Macaca fascicularis: one gene and its partner. The protein of the gene in region 1 binds, or shares a complex with, the protein of each later gene. Links are inferred from orthologs where the notes say so. Each region holds a gene or a part of one and is shown on either strand. Other genes may lie near its edges. The genes, in order: EDAR and EDA.

Evidence for each region.
Region 2: the proteins of EDAR (region 1) and EDA are in contact, whole or in part, in a crystal structure (PDB 7X9G), measured with the Homo sapiens proteins. The link is inferred for Macaca fascicularis from reciprocal best matches to the Homo sapiens genes EDAR and EDA. Residues at the interface, in NP_071731.1 of Homo sapiens: Glu55, Pro56, Tyr57, Leu58, Lys78, Ile86, Arg88, Arg89, His90, Asp92, Glu94, Gly95, Phe97, Val134; in NP_001390.1 of Homo sapiens: Gln256, Ser258, Ala259, Gln261, Asp265, Asp273, Arg289, Tyr310, Tyr311, Lys340, Thr341, Tyr343, Ser370.

The regions. Positions count from the first base shown.
Region 1 is NC_088387.1:16,470,775-16,475,329, forward strand, and holds the start of EDAR (tumor necrosis factor receptor superfamily member EDAR), read right to left. Parts: upstream 2,882-4,555; 5' UTR 2,869-2,881; coding exon 2,836-2,868; intron 1-2,835. UniProt on the Homo sapiens protein: Receptor for EDA isoform A1, but not for EDA isoform A2. Mediates the activation of NF-kappa-B and JNK. May promote caspase-independent cell death.
Region 2 is NC_088395.1:76,350,930-76,355,267, reverse strand, and holds the start of EDA (ectodysplasin-A), read right to left. Parts: upstream 2,836-4,338; 5' UTR 2,642-2,835; coding exon 2,246-2,641; intron 1-2,245. UniProt on the Homo sapiens protein: Cytokine which is involved in epithelial-mesenchymal signaling during morphogenesis of ectodermal organs. Functions as a ligand activating the DEATH-domain containing receptors EDAR and EDA2R. May also play a role in cell adhesion.

The DNA of each region.
Region 1 (4,555 bases):
CAGAATGATGCTGAATTAAAAGCAGAAATCCAAAGATCCTCACTCTTCAATGGTTTTGTCAACGATCTACAAACAAGAGATCTGCAGACAATCCCAGTGTTGTTCCAAGATAAGGAGAGATAGCTACAGAGATGCCAAGGACAGGGAAGCTGACTGTGCACTTGTCTTACCCTTGTCAGGAACATCTGTGCCAGCGATCAATCGAACTGAACAAAGTCCGGTGGCTCTGTGTCAGTGAAGTTCACTCATTGTCACTTGTAAGTCCCCTGTCCAGCCCTGCAGAGGCCACAAACCGCTGTAGACCCCTAACTTCAACCGTTTGAGTGTGTGCACGAGTCGTACAACAAAGACATATTCCAGTTTTGGGAAAATACATCTGAAGTTTTACATGATGTATTCTTATCTGAAATTCTGTGGCCAATGTAAAAGGGCTACGTAAGCAAAAATCATCACGCACCACACACTGTTAAATTGTTCACAGCAACTATGGGAAAAGAATTCAGTTTGCTTTCAAGGGTCCTTCGAAATCTGTTTCTAGGATGCCCAAAGCCGACGTTCTAAAATTTAAGAGATTCGAATTATAAAAATTGCACAAGGACATTTAAAAGAAATTAAGCTTTCTATTTGAAAGTGGATTCACGTGCACTTGTTCGTGATAATACAGAGATAATACAGATAATACAGGGAGATCCCATGTCCCCCATTACCCAGTGTACCCCAACGGTTTCATCTTGTAAAATTACAGGATGATAGCACCTGCACAGTCAGGTGTGGACAGCAATATAGTCAAGATAGAAGACAATTACAAGAGGGGTTTTAGAGACTCCGTTTGATAAAGCTCCATGATCTGCAAAAGCCAGCAGCCCTCTCAACAGAAGAATGAACCTGGGAGCTCTGCAGAATGTTGCGGCCAATTCTGGGCAATTCCCAGGCTGTGGGTATCACAGGACTGCCTGGCCTGGGGCCTGCAACCTGCAAAGAGGGGCCCTTCCATCTGTAGACTCTTCCTTCTCTTGGGAAGATGAGGCAGAGGGAGGAAAGTGTGAGCTAGCTGGAGAGACACCCACACACTCAGAAGCAGATGACCACAGACCGAGGAGCCAGTAGGATCAGCTCTGGCTGGAGCACGGGCCAATCCCGGACTCACTTCTTGGACTGTTTTCCTCAACCATCAGCTGAGGCAGCCGAGCCTGGCACTGTCCAGGACTATGGCCGCTGTGGCTGCCGAGCCTGAACTGTGGCCAGCGTCCCTGAAGCACTGAGTTTCTCATGTTAATGAATTCTACTTAATTTAAATTTAAACAGACACATATGGCTGTGCCTACCCCACTGGGCAGCACAGAAGATAGTCTTTCAGATCCCTCCCACCCCCTGAAATGTTCTAATTTAAAACATCCAGGCTTATATAGATGGGGCACGTTTTTTATTTACTCCTGGGGAAACTGAGACTCTGAGAGATCCAGGACTTTTCTGAGGTCCCACCGGTGAGCTGTGCTACAGCCAGAAGCCCCTGCCAGGTCATCTGGACTCCAGTTCAAATCTCAGTCTCTGCCACATGATGCCACGACTCAAAAGCAGTCCCACTAACAGGGAACTGTGACGAAAAGGGATCAGGTCATGGAGCTGTCCATCCTTCCCTAGACTGAAGAGGAACCCCAAAATATGAGAAATAAAAGTCCCTACTCTAAGAGGAAATCAGGTACTTTGGGGGGAAAAAAAACCTCAACAAAATCCAAAAACCCAACCAAACCACAGTCACCAGTGAGTGAAATGAGGATAATCTTTTAACAACAAAGGGACTGCTGTTGAAAGAACTAGCTTTCTCTGAGCAAATGGAGCAGCAAATAGCACTCCAATTCCAGAAAGAAAAAGTCCTGGAGGCGTGTCCACAGGAGAGCTTCCCAGGGCTGGAATCCACACTCTCCCTTACACCACACTCGGCGCTCACTAAGTGACAGCAGGCAGCAGCCGTTGGCTTGCTTCTACCCAGAGAGCTGAGGTTCCTAATCAGAAGACCTTCCAGAGAGCCACAGACCCCAAATGTTTGGAAATAATTCCACAAACCGTGTAGCATGACAAAACATACTTAACAACAGCACGTCTGGAATAAGGAACGATTCATTAATTCTAATTAAATCATATAAAGTTCAGCTTAACATTTAACATTTTTTTAATGATCTAAGACTCTCTTCAAAAGCACAACCTGCCTTTTACGTGAACATTCTAAAAACTTATTTTAATATTCCCCCGAACATGTTTTAATTATGCCACCCACTCAGAAAAGTATGTGTGTGCGTGAAGCACGTGTGTGTGTGTGCATGTGTGTGTGTGTGTGTGTGAAGGGTAGTGGTTTTTTTTTTTTTTTTTTGAGTGTCCGGAGTGTCATGATTACATCTTTTAATGATAATAAATGGGCCAGGCATGGTGACTCACGCCTGTGATCCCAGCACTTTGGGAGGCAGAGGCAGGCGGATCACGAGGTCAGGAGATCGAGACCATCCTGGCTAACATGGTGAAACCCTGCCTCTACTAAAAATACAAAAGCAAAATGAGCCGGGCATGGTGGCGGGCGCCTGTAGTCCCAGCTACTTGGGAGGCCGAGGCAGGAGAATGGCATGAACCTGGGAGGCCGAGATCACGCCACTGCACCCCAGCCTGGGAGACAGAGCGAGATTTTGTCTCAAAAAAAAAAGATAATAAATGACCCAGTTGTTCCCAGATGCAGGTCTTTTGGGGAGAGAAAGACATTACAGACAGGAAGATCCTTAGAAGGTTTTCACCCCATCAGGATTTTCTCCTCTTTGGCTCTACTGGCTTTGGGTCTTTTCCTCTTACCTTTGGGTGTCTGTGTGCCTCCTTCCTTCTCATTTGGGTGACTGCTGCAGTGGGAGAGCTGGGCACCTTCCCTAGGTGTGTAGTAATTGGGGTTTGATGTAGGAGAGGTGTGACTGCTCTGTGCATTGATGTGGTGGTGGGGGGCTGGGGTTTTAGCACATCACAGGAAATTCAAGATGGGCCTTTTGATGTGCAGCACCCTCCCCTCCCCTCCTGCATCATGTACTCTCCCTCCACCTTTCCCTTCTGTGCTCCCCCCTCTCCCCCCCAGGCAAAGATGTATTTCCTGAAAACTGGAAAAACCAGGTACTATCAACCTCAAATCAGTGCCAATTAAATTCAGTTATAAAATTTGGGCCTTGTCCCTCATCTCTGAGTGACACCTTCCCTTTTACAACTGGGGCTGTTAATACCACAATTAAAACATTCAGCATCACCATATCCTTGGATCTAAAGCAGTTTATAGCCTTGAACTTCTGTAAAGAAAGTCATTAACATATCAAGGTGTTTTGATAAGACCAACTTTGAAGCAAGCCTCTCCTCCTGGTCTTTTATCTCCTCTGCCATCTTATGTATCAAATTTCAAGAATGCAAAGACCTATCTGCCTAGCATGTTGCTGCCTACTCAAGTTCCGTCTTTGTTATTTCTGTTATCAATATTTTAAAGTCAGATGACCTTAGCAATTAACACATGAACTTTGGGTGAAGGGTTTAGATTTACTATGCAGAGACTGGCATTAAGTCCCTTCAAAGCTTTAAGAAATGCAGTGGTATTGGAGGCCAGTCACAGGCGGAGCTCCTGTGGAGTGACTCCTCACAGGGCACAGGAAGTCCTATGCCTCATGTCACGGGACCCAGTGCAGTTATGCAGGGTTAGAGCCTGTGGTCTCAGCCATACCCGGTGCTCTTTCAACCTGAAGACTGAGGAAATGGTCAACTTCTGTCTGAACAGAAGTCATCAGAGAGTTCTGTGGTGCCCAAGTGCATTCAAATAGTAAGGAAACCCTACTGACTTCAGGAGCACTACTGTGTTTGGCTATAGGGTTTCTGAGAAAATGAGCTTCAGCTGTGTTGGCTCTGCCTGTGGAGAAGGGCTTCCCAAGCTACTGAGCCCACATGCAGGGCTCCCTGCTGGCAGAGGCCACGTGCCAGCCCTGGAAGGGAGCACAGTGGAGGGAAGATTGACTGCCTGGGGACCACTATCCTTGGCTAAACTGCCGAGTAGGACAAACAACTCCACAAACATGGTGAAGCGAAAGGAAGACAGAGCAGGACCCTCTTTACTGGAGTCTGTCCCAAAGACCAGCCAATGTGTGTGTGTAGTTTTGTTTTTTTTTTTGAGATGGAGTCTCACTCTGTTGCCCAGGCTGGAGTGCAGTGGTGCAATCTTGGCTCACTGAAACCTTTGCTCCCCAGGTTCAAGCAATTCTCCTGCCCCAGCCTCCCAAGTAGCTGGGATTATAGGCACCCGCCACCATGCCAAGCTAATTTTTCTATTTTTAGTAGAGACGGAGTTTTGCCATGTTGGCCAGGCTGGTTTTGAACTCCTGACCTCAACTGATCCACCTGCCTTGGCCTCCCAAAGTGCTGGGATTACAGGCATGAGCCACTGCACCCGGCCAAATTATGTTTTTGAGATCAAGTCCCTGGGATAATCAGTTGTAGGTTCATATTTCACAGGGAAAAACAGAAAAAAAAATGAAGAATATCAAAGGCTAGA
Region 2 (4,338 bases), on another chromosome or scaffold:
CTTTTTAAAAAACTTATTTTTGTATACTAAAACTAATATACAAGATAAGATACACAAGTTGAATAACTTAAACTTAAGTTGATTTTGGGCTAAAATTCCTTCAAAGTATACTCCAAATCTGAAAGTGAAGTTCAGGAAGAATAAGGAATACATGGTTAAACTTACTGTGGTCAAAATACAGGTAGAGTAGAACAAAATGATGCAGATCTGAGTGCTCTACTTTGCAAAAGTTCTAATATGGAGCTCCATCTTGCTCCCTCGCAAAAGGTCCCAGGAGGTAGTTGAGGGAATGAGCACTGAACTAGGAGTTAAGAGAGCAACTATCATCCCAGTTTTGACTCTAGTTATGTGACCTTGGGCAAGTCACTTTCCCATTAGGGCCTATGTTTCCCAAGGGAATCAAACAAAATGGACTCATATAAGCCCTTCATAACTCTAGGAAACTGATTCCAACTGATGTCAACAAATGTAAAGAGCTAGTATCCTTGCTTCTATTGCTCAAAAATATTAAAACAGAAAGAATAAAGGACAGAAGGTAGGAAGCTGTGTTTAAACCTAGAGAGAACTATTTTAGTGTCACACAAAGGGAGGTAACTAAATGCCATTACACACCTGTAAGAGTTTCATGCCATCACAGAAGCCCTAGAGTACAGCTGTTCTGCTAATCCCCAGTCTATAAAAGCGGCTCTGTCCATCCTGAATGCCAAAAAGTCTTGGCCAACATTTGACTAAAGAAGTTTAATTTTTTCATCTTTTCACAGAATATCAATGTTCAGCTGCTAAATATTTCTACTGGGCATTGGGGTGTGGCGGGAGTGGCAGTAGATAAATAAAAGGAGTCAGAATCCTAGTTAATTATCGTTTAGCTACAATGTTTAAAGTTTCAAGTATGAGAAGCATGTCTGCTGATTCTCTTCTTTGATAAGCTGTTATATAAATTGGAGTGTGCTAGTAAGACATTTTAAGGCTCAAGGCAACTTTACAACGGACATCTTTTTTGTTGTTGTTGTTTTTTGTTTTTTTTTTTTTAAAGTATCAGTCCTAACATTACACTATGATCATGAATGTGATGTCTCTATCAAGTGTACCACTTTAGATGGGAGGTCAAAGTGGCACAAATAATGTTTACAGAGTTGTGACAATGACTCTGGATGTGGAAGTAAATATAGAAGGCTTGGGTCCCTCACCTCAAGGAACTTATTTGTACAACTTGCTCTCTTCCCTAAGAGGTACAATTTTACTATTATTCTTTAGCCACCTCAAAAGGATCCTTGGATGCTTCTCCTAAGTTTCACATATGGCAACGAAGACAATATTTACATTAAGTGAACTAAATTTACTTGAATAAAGAGCTAGAAAGAGTGGAAAACAAACGCCAAAGCTAATAGTTTGCTAATAAGGGCACAAACACCATAAAGGCTGCAAAAACAAACAAAACAAAACTGCTCTTGGGGGACTAGTCCTGAGTAATTATTCCATTGGCAGATTCCTGTTCTCAAGCTAGCAGTAGCAAAAGCGCTTCCCACCCACCCTTCCCACCGCACACCTACCCCGCTTAAGAATCAGAACCGGCATGCAAAGGGTGAGTTTTATTTCCATAGATTTTTTAAATTGCTGTTCAGAAGTTGTCTAGCAAGACGGCATATTTCTACCAGAATTCCTCAGGGGCGCTGATCCTCACTAGAACGCTGAGGACAATCAGTCTCAAATTGCAGGTAAGTGTGAACAAGCCCACGTTCTGGTCAGCGCACAAGGACCCGCGCTGAAAATGCGGTTAAAAGTTGTTTCAACAGGCGGGCGTGGAGCAGTTATTACAGCTGTTTACAGCTCCAACTCCAAAGGGGAGCCTGCTGGTTCTGGCATCAGCTCTAGACACGAAAAAACAAGCACCGCGGGCAGAGAACCTCATCACGAGCAGAAGGGCCAAGCCGTTAGTCGGCCGGGGGGCAGCGCAGGCACCTCCTCGACGGGAGCTTCGCCAACTTTTCTCCAGGCAGCCCGCAGCCAGGGGCCGCGGGCGCGCGCTAGACTTTCCAAGTCAAGGGGTCCCCAGGGAGTCCAGATTGGGCCAGGGACCGAAGACAACCTGCCCTGGACAACCTCTCCCCTGCTCGCCTGGTCCCTCCCTGGTCCTGCCCTCTAAATTGGCTCGAGGTGGCAGAGTGCCCCCAGGCCCCTGTGGCGGAGGGCCCTCGCCCTACCCGCGAGGGGAGGGGGCCGCCGCCGCCCCTACTAGGTGACTCACCTGGTGCCCGTCCTGGGAGTCAGAGGGGAGTGCAGCTTCTCCCGGTTCCAACGGCTGCTGCTGAGGTGACGGCTGCCCAAGGTGAGTGGTGATGGGGCTGTCAGGGTCGAGGCCACCGAGGCTGCTTAGGGTGCCAGAGGTGCCAGGGGTGCCCGAGCCGCCAAGGCGGGACTCGGCTCCCCGTTCCCGCCGCAACTCCGAGCGCAACTCTAGGTAGCAGCACAACGTCAGCAGGTGGAGGGCCAGCGAGAGGCCAAAGAAACCCAGGAAGAGCAGGCAACTGTTCCCTTCTCCCGCCCGGGCAGGGGCCCCGCGACACCCGCAGCCCTGGCTCCCTCGCTCCCGTGGCGCTGCCGCAGGCAGGAGTTCCCTGCGCTCCACCTCCGGGTAGCCCATGGCCTCCGGAGACACCCACTCTCTTGAGGCCCGGGAGCCGCTGCGTCTGCCTCAGCCGTTCACGACCTCTGACAGGCGGCTACTGTCCTGCCATCGGCTGGGGGCTGCAGGGACCCGTTCCTGCGCGACGGTGGCTGGGCGGGACGGAGCAGGGAGCAGCCGCATGTGCAGCTCCACTCCGAGGGGTGGGAAAGGGAGGAGGAGGGGCGGGAGAGAGGGACGGCTCGGCCCGCCGAGGGAATGAAGGAGGAGGTCCCGGCCGACCCCGCCCCATCCCTCAAGCGGCTGCCGGGACGCCCAACCACGGGGCCGCCAAGCCTCGGCGCCCCGCCCCGTGCCGTTCCAACCGGGCGTCCAGCCGCGGGGCGGGGCCTGGGGGCGTGAGGGTTCGCCTCTGTCTGGCCGCCCCACCCAGCTCTTCCCGCTTGCCCCGTCCCAGTTGGTGACTGGCGCCGTCGTTCATCCCTGGGCTCCGCCCCAGTTTAACCCTATATCGCCAGTACGGGGAGGAAAAGAGGGGGAGGCTACGAATTTGGGAACCTTGGAAAGAAAGTAGAGCAAAGAAAAGGAGGCAGAAACTAGCATTAATAGAAATGTTCGCAATTAACTGCAGTTGTTAATAACATCATCCAGTACTTATCTGTTGCTTCCAATCTTCAAAGCGTTTAACAGACGTTAAACTAATTAAAACAGCTCCGGGTTTGGAATGAAACCATGCCTGCTGTGTTTGCAATTCAATGGCTCGCCCGAAGAAAAGGAGACCCAGGAGCCTGGGAACTATGGGAATGGGTGGGACTCAAGCAGCCTCACTCCTGGAGTGACTCTGAAGGCTCAATCTAAGTAACAGAGAAGCCGACCCATGCCAAGCGGAACTGAAATGATGTTGTCCCATGAAGGGTAAAACAGTCTCCTAGGATTTCTTAATTAATTCAACAAATATCTATTGATACAATGCAGAAAATGCTGTATGAGAGCATCCACAGCCAGAATAGATTTCTTCCACTGCAGCAGTTTTGATTGGAGAACATACGCCTTCAGTGAGTAGATAGGGAAACCGAGGGCCAGAATGAAGTGGATTTTTACAAGGGTGGTCCACAGAATGGTCAGACACTACTGGCATCTTTATTTACAGGCAACTGTTCTGGCCTCTCCACCCCTCCCATCCTTCTCCTGGAGTACTCCCTGGGGGAAGTTCAACAAGTCAGCCAAATGTTCCAGATGTATACTGCTGCAACTGCAGCATCTTCAACAGCTGCACCAATCAGAAACGGGTTCAGAGAAAGAAAAAAAAAAAGTGGCAAATGGCAGAACAATAGACCCTGAAATGAAGGATGGAAAGGATTAGTTAAATCAAGAGTCACAATTGACAAGAGTTACTAGTCTGAGATTATAGAAAGTGAAATGACTACAGCAGGGGAAGCATGTACACTTCATAGTCACTACGCACTCTCATTCCATGTTATTAATTGAGTAATGAATAATTAACAATTTCATTGACTTGCAGCGGGCATCTTGAGTGTCATCATGGAGGCTCAGCAATGCCAGGAGCACTTATGTGTAGGCCTAAGACCTAGGCTGGTGGAAGAGAAGAAAAACATAGATAGAGATAGAAAAGAAGACAAAAGAAGAGAAATAAAACACAAAACCAAAAGCATCTGCTGGCAGGTCAGTCCAGAGAGCACAGAGGTCATAAGCCT